Linked DNA regions of Drosophila melanogaster. The protein of the gene in region 1 interacts with the protein of each later gene in a pairwise test. Each region holds a gene or a part of one and is shown on either strand. Other genes may lie near its edges.

Region 1 (3,759 bases):
GGAACGTACTACGTAGAAGAGTGCAAATCAGAATTCCCGGTGCTTATCAATTTTCTTTGTTTTTAAAGTCAAAAGGTTGACTGTGTTTTTTAATAACTAATTATGTGCACATAAAAATGAGAAAGTAAAGAGAAGGAAAACAAATATGTATGTTGCATATGTGTACAAATTGCATATTAGTTAGTTCCGTTATACGTATTACTTAGGGCAAGTTAACATTTAGTTTTCAAGTATTAATCATTTAAATGTTAATTTATGAAGTGCATCATGATTGGATTGCTTTTAAGCCTTTCACTTACCTGGCAATGTGAAAACGCCGCTAAGGGCTAGCACGGTCATCAGCAAACCGAACAAGAGCTTCATTTTTGTTTGGTTTTTTTTTTTTCACAAGCTTATAATTTGTTTAATTTGTATAGTTTATTTAGGGCTGAAAGCTTTGATGCGTTGATGTGGACCGGCAACCGGATTCGATTCTGTTCAGTTTTGTTCTGTGCGGAAAGACAAACAATCGTCAAATGCGCTTAAATGATTTGAGGAAGCGGCAAATAAACGGCGGCCGGCTGAGTGAGTGAGCGAGTGAGAAACCGAGTGAGTGACTAGCTGACCGCTCTCTTGCTCTCCCTCTCACTCAATTAGCCGCTGGGCTTATAAATATTCCAAATGGCAGGCGGCAAGTGTTGTGGGAAGAGCGCTACACTGTGCCCGTCAACTGGGTACAATATTTGGGGACTCCACTGTGTACAGAATGCAGCGTATTAGTAATGTTCTTAGGCACATTTAAGTTAACTTTTATTTTCGTTACACCTTTTTGTTTCCGTTATAGCTTACTGGTTCATTAACTATTGTATCTACTACTATAAAAAATATAATATAATATAACTTTATCTTTATAATTATATATATATAAAAGCAGTTCTAAAAGGGCATTTGCTACTAATATTTTAAAATTTCGATTAAAAGGGTGTTTGAAAGTCGCCGTTGCTCATTGAACCTTTTGTAAATTTAGTTGTGTTTTCAATTTACTTAATCAGTTTTTGTCTATGCTTCGTTAGCTGCACGCGGGCTTCTCTATTCCACTATATTTGTATTTCAGACTTTAAATGTGTCCCTGTCACAGTTGCTGAATGTTTCAGTCGCCCCATTCGTATTTCAATTCCACTTCGATTGCATTGTATGGAACTATGTCTATTCAACGGCTGCTCGAATCACCTGTTAAATGCGCTTGGTGTTTAGTTCAAGGTTGTTGTTTCTGTAAACAAAAGCATCATTTGCTTATTTCCCTAATGGGCAGCTATTGAGAATTTTCTTCCAAGGAAATGAAAACGGAGCTAAAGACTATTCTCAGTAATTAAATGGTTATGATAGAGTGCTTCTTTTTAATTCCATCGATAAAGTAGTCACGCCTTGATTGAGCCGGGTTTAATCACGATTTTACTAACGAATATGCCAAAGATCGGCAATTTATTGGAAATCTTTAGTTAATCCGATTATGAATGATCTTTTTGACCCGAGAGAACTTACGATATAACACCCAATTACAGTTCTGATAAATATAAAAAGCCGTAAAGAATTTGTATAATTATACACTGATTTAAATCTAGAATGTATTATAATCTCAAAATGAACTGGAATTTTTGCACATCAGAAAATTATTTAAATATCTTGCCCGACAGTAAATTTTTCAAGGTCTTCAAAATTAGCAACTATAAACTTTAAATAGCATTTTTAATGTCTGATAGTTTTAGAAAGCTATTGTTTATGTTGGGCTCAGCATAAAAGTGAGCACAAGTAAATATTTCGCAAACAGCTGCGTGAAGTAAATTAGGCATCCAAATTATTGCCCAGACAGCCTAAACAAGCTGCAAATTGTTTGTTTGTAAACATTTTTGTCAGCGCCGAAGCGGAAATTGTTCACGCACACAATTTCATTCACATACACATGCCGACAACCGCGAATTTGCATAAATTTTATTATTGTTACCGGTGTCATACAGTTATTTCTGTGGATCGCTTGAATCACTCGATTTCGAAAGATCGGAGAAGAACGCGCGATCTTCAACGTGCGTTGGCTTTAATGAAACGTTTCGGACTAAACGGTTGCGTACGATTTTGGCTTCATTTATACCAGCTCACGTCGTTGGCACTCAAAAAAAAACAAAGAATTGAGAAGAGAGACCGGGAAAGGGAGGAATGCGCAGAGAAGAATACGAGAGCGAAGAAGGGTCTTCCGAGTGCTCCAAATGTGCATTCAACAATGTTTTAATTAAAAAAAAAAAAGAAAAATAACTAAAGAACTTTCAATTTTATATTTTTACAACAGATCCACTACCAAAGATGCCCCATCCTGTTTACCCAAAAAGTAGCAGAAATTTTACAAAAAGAATATTCATTGACACGTCAGTGGGAGCAAAAATGAATGTCGCCAGCGGAACGCGAATGTCCTCCAGTGCAGTCCCTTGACCAAAACCGTTGGAGTTCGAGGTGTATGTATAAAAATCAGAAATTCAAAGCGGATGGCCGACAGCGCCGAGAAAGAGGCGGGGATATAGTTAGCGACAAGGAACGCGCGCCAAGCTACGTTCTTGGATTGACAATGAAGTCCACCTGCCCCCTTTTACCTGAACTTGCCTCTTGGGAGCCGTGTTGCTTTATGGTTTTCGACCAGATTGAAATCGCGATCGGCGCAGCTACAGCTGTTAAAATCTCCTGCAGGCTGCTCTTCATGCTCTACAACTTGTAATTCTTGTCGTGGTCCCACGAACCGGATTCTGTTTTAACTACACTTTCGTTGGTTTTATTCGAACTGCTATTTTCGTTTTACTAAATACAGGTTTGATTGCACTATGCCTTTAAGTGGCAGAGGAGCATTTAAAATAAATTACCATTTTCGGTTAATCGTTGACACAACATTCTTGCGGTCGAGTCAATAAATTCCCCAAAAAACAAGATTTGGTTGTCAAGGCTTCGAAGTGAGAAGAATTTGAGTCAGCTTAGTCCTACATATATTTAAGTGAGTAAAGCTTGGCTTTTAGGACCAACGATATTTTAAAATATCAGATTGACTTGTTTTTAAATAAACTATTTACAATGCTATGATCTTCAGGTAAATATCGTAGTATATTTTCTATTTTTTTATATATACTAATTATATATATTTTTCTTTATCATTTGCAGTCTCTTAATTAGTCATAAATCTTTCGAATTTAAATTTAGACACCGGATGACAGACAGAAACACTCACAGATTATAACGAAACGTGCTCTTGACCTTGACACTGTTGGAAAAAAATGAAGTACCCATATTCAGATATTTATTTTAGGATTGAATATTTTTAGAATGTTTTAAATTTCCTTGATAAACTTTATTCTTGCGCCATCTATGTACTTGCAGAAGACGCTGATACTAGCGCCACCTGGCAGCAGTAGGTTCTTAACATTTCTGTTAATTTTACAGAGCTGGAAATATGCTGGCTGTTCGAACGAGAGTTGCCAGATGAATTTAGACGTTGCCTTGGTAACGGTTTTCACTTGATTTTATTGTCGAAATAAAATAAATAAAGAAGGAAAACAAATATAAGGGACTAAAATAAAATAATAATGTTTCGTCGTGGAAAACTATCCTTTCTAAACACCAAAGATGACCGTGTTAAAATAATAAACGAGCGCATAAACATAACAGAAAGGCATCTAATGGAGATGTGCTCTTCGTTTGCTTTGGTAACGCGGAAAATGGCCAAGTGAGTTTGGTAAATAAATAAAT
Region 2 (3,759 bases), on another chromosome or scaffold:
CATTAAGCATATTTATAGAACTTTAACTTAAGCGACCATAAAAACTAAGCTATTTTGGTGCTAGGAACTGGTTATATATTTGTTATTTAAATGCATTCTTTTCTCCCGTAGTTTACAAAGCGCGAATTCTGGAGAATGCCAAAAAGCCGGTTCTATTGCGATATCCAAGAATCAGTTTAATGGGCTTGGATATAACAGAAAGTCTTTTAAAGGAGCCGAAAGTACAGGAGCTATTAAAACAAAACCGCACATTCGATGGAGTAATCTGTGAGACTTTCATGAATGACGCCCACTACGGTTTTGCAGAACATTTCGGAGCTCCACTGATCACTCTGAGCAGCTTGGGTGCCACTGGTTGGACCTCTGATCTGGTGGGCACACCCTCGCCACCATCGTATGTGCCACACTCATTGCTGCGGTTCGGGGATCGCATGAATTTCTGGGAAAGGGCTCAGAATTTGGGATTCCAGATATACGAATTTGCCTATGAGAATTTGATTAATCTACCAAGACATGAAGCACTGTACCGAAAGTATTTCCCTAACAACAAACAGGACTTTTATAGGATGCGCAAGGATACGTCATTGGTGCTACTTAACAATCATGTATCGATCAGCAATCCACGGCCCTATTCGCCAAACATGATCGAAGTGGGCGGAATGCACGTGAATCGAAAGGCACCAAAGCCACTGCCCCAAAATATTCGCAAATTCATCGAAGAAGCCGAGCATGGGGTTATCTATTTTTCATTGGGCTCCAATCTGAACAGCAAAGATTTACCGGAGAACAAGCGAAAGGCCATTGTGGAGACGCTAAGGGGACTCAAGTACCGAGTTATTTGGAAGTACGAGGAGGAAACCTTTGTCGACAAACCGGATAATGTTCTCATATCGAACTGGTTACCGCAGGACGATATCCTGGCACACGAAAAAGTGATTGCCTTTATAACCCATGGAGGACTTTTGAGCACAATGGAATCGATTTACCATGGCAAGCCCGTCGTGGGTATTCCCTTCTTTGGCGATCAGTTCATGAATATGGCAAGAGCCGAGCAAATGGGCTATGGCATCACGGTGAAGTATGCCCAACTAACGGCTTCACTATTCCGATCCGCCATCGAAAGGATTACTAGTGATCCTAGCTTCACGGAAAGGGTTAAGGTGATATCCAGTCAATATCGGGACCAAAAGGAGACTCCACTGGAACGAGCTGTTTATTGGGTGGAGCATGTGACTCGGCATAAAGGAGCCAAGTACCTGAGAAGTGCCTGCCAGGATCTGAACTTCATCCAATACCACAATCTGGATGTTCTGGCGACATTCTTTTCGGTCATTGGATTGACCGTTATTTTCGTCTTTCTATTAGTTCGGTTTTTAGTTACTATTGTAAACGGCTTTCTATATAAACCTAGTTCGAAGCTAAAAATTAACTAGTTTATATATAAATATTTTTTTAGTACAAAACTAAGCTATATAGAATATTATCTTTTTTAAGTATATTGGATTTTTTCGGTGGACTTAAATACAAATAATTTTTTACATAATACATCAAACTATTATTAAATTTTATGGTGGCTTAATAATTATCTCAAATTTTGATCTCAAACAAAAATTCGCAACGTGCATTTTCTAAAATACCTCGCATAGTTTTCTTTATCAACAACAAATATTGTTTGAATCAGAATTCTACACCAACCATGCATCAGAAAGAGAACCAAAGTGAAAAACAAAACAAAATATTGCTCCCCACCAAAAAAGCCGGTGTGAAAACAAAGCGAAGGAGAATCCGAGAATAAAACCTATCCAAAACTGATAATATATGCGAGAGAGCCTCTCCACTTTGTAGAGATATTGACACTCGATCGTGAATAGCGTACAAAATATTGAGATTTGGCACTGTAACGATGACGAAGAAGAGAGGGCGTGAGAATAGAAGAGCAGAGCAGAGCACACTCTCCAAATCTGATTGGGACCTAACCCAACCACTTATAATTACCTCATCGCAGTCCCATGTTAACTCAGTTTACTGCGAGGCGTCGAGGCGTTCGTAGCCCCCATTTAGTATCAGTTTCACGGTCGTTGGTCGTTAAGAACGCATTTCACAACTGGCAACAATTAAGCCAAATTAATTGTATTGAATTCGCAGTTTTCGAAACTAACGATGAAACCAACAGCTGGCCAAACGGGTTTTCTGGCCCTACTGCTGTTCTGCCTGCTGAGCTGCGTGTCTGCCTACAACTACCTGGTGGTGCTCCATACCGCCGCACGATCCCATTACCATGTGGGATCTGCCCTGGCCAAGGGATTAGCCGCTGCGGGACATCAGGTGACCATCATCTCCCCCTTCGAGCTGAAGAAACCCATCAAGAACATCAAAGATGTTCCGGCCAAGAGCATTCTGACTTCCATGCAGGGTATGTTTAACGACCGAAATTATTAATAACATTATTACACAATCTAATGGGGAATTCGGTAAGACTACAGACACTGTGTCTGAAATTAATAATTATTGAATGGAATCTAAAGTTTGAACAATGAACTTCCATTATAATTCAAGAACACAGTCGTATCATATTATTAGTGTGATTAATATAACATAAATTATTTCTGTTATTTTGCAATGGTGACAACATTTAAAGACTTTTAAAATGTGAATTTGTAAAATATGGCCTATGGTGTAAACCGGTTGGGTTACATCAAATATTTATTTGTTGACAAATGGAGTTTTCTGGTTTACTTATGCATTACATAACTAAATGAATTCAGCTTATTAGCTTAACTTTCAAAGTCATTTCATTTTTACCTCAAGAAGTTGCACCAATAAAAATGAGTTAAGTTCGATTCGATAAGCCTAGCTAACAATTGCTTCTGATAACGTCCATGGTTTCTAAGCACTTAAGGGTTTTAAAATAACCTAACCTAATACCAATTTTGTATGACATGACATGTTCTCTTTGTTAGAAAGACACGCGTTTTAATACACTTTAATTTATTTTAGGAAGAATTGCTAACCTTTTGCAAAGCTCAAAGGAGCCCATAATCAAGCAGATCATTAACTTTCACGAAATGGGTATTGAAATAACCGAATTGCTGCTGAAGGAACCATCTGTGATAGAACTGATGAAATCCAACCAGACCTTCGATGCCGTAATATCCGAGGTGTTCCTGAACGAAGCTCACTTCGGATTCGCCGAGCATTTCAAGGCTCCACTTATAGGACTGGGCACCTTTGGAGCTATTAGCTGGAACACCGATCTGGTGGGTGATTATTTGCCATAGTGACTAAGAGGATTTCCATAATTTATATATTCTTACCTTTTATTTTAGGTGGGATCTCCTTCACCGCCCTCGTATGTTCCCAGTGCACTGCTGAAGTTTAGTGACCGCATGTCCCTCGTAGAGCGAGTGGGCAACCAGGCCTTCCTCACCTACGAATATATCTTCCTCAACTACTTCTATCTGCCGCGCCAGGAGGTCCTCTACCGCAAGTACTTCCCCAATAACAAGCAGGACTTTTACGATATGCGCAAGAACACGGCTCTGGTGCTGCTCAATCAACATGTATCGCTCAGTTTTCCACGACCCTACTCACCCAATATGATCGAGGTGGGCGGCATGCACATCAATCGAAAGCGCCAGCCGCTGCCCAAGGACATTCTGGAGTTCATTGAGGGTGCCGAGCATGGAGTTATCTACTTCTCGATGGGCTCCAATCTGAAGAGCAAAACACTGCCGTTGGAAAAACGCCAGGCGCTGATCG

The links.
Region 2: the proteins of vir-1 (region 1) and Ugt302C1 interact in a two-hybrid assay, tested with the Drosophila melanogaster proteins (one large-scale study listed by BioGRID).

Annotation. Positions count from the first base shown.
Region 1 is NT_033779.5:12,421,342-12,425,100, forward strand, and holds the start of vir-1 (virus-induced RNA 1), read right to left. Parts: upstream 2,099-3,759; 5' UTR 1,982-2,098; intron 522-1,981; exon of another isoform or gene 489-521; 5' UTR 364-488; coding exon 300-363; intron 1-299. Other genes in the region: Fam92, read left to right, coding at 3,597-3,736.
Region 2 is NT_033777.3:11,155,081-11,158,839, forward strand, and holds the start of Ugt302C1 (UDP-glycosyltransferase family 302 member C1), read left to right. Parts: upstream 1-2,017; 5' UTR 2,018-2,160; coding exon 2,161-2,413; intron 2,414-2,997; coding exon 2,998-3,257; intron 3,258-3,326; coding exon 3,327-3,759. Other genes in the region: Ugt302E1 (UDP-glycosyltransferase family 302 member E1), read left to right, coding at 112-1,433.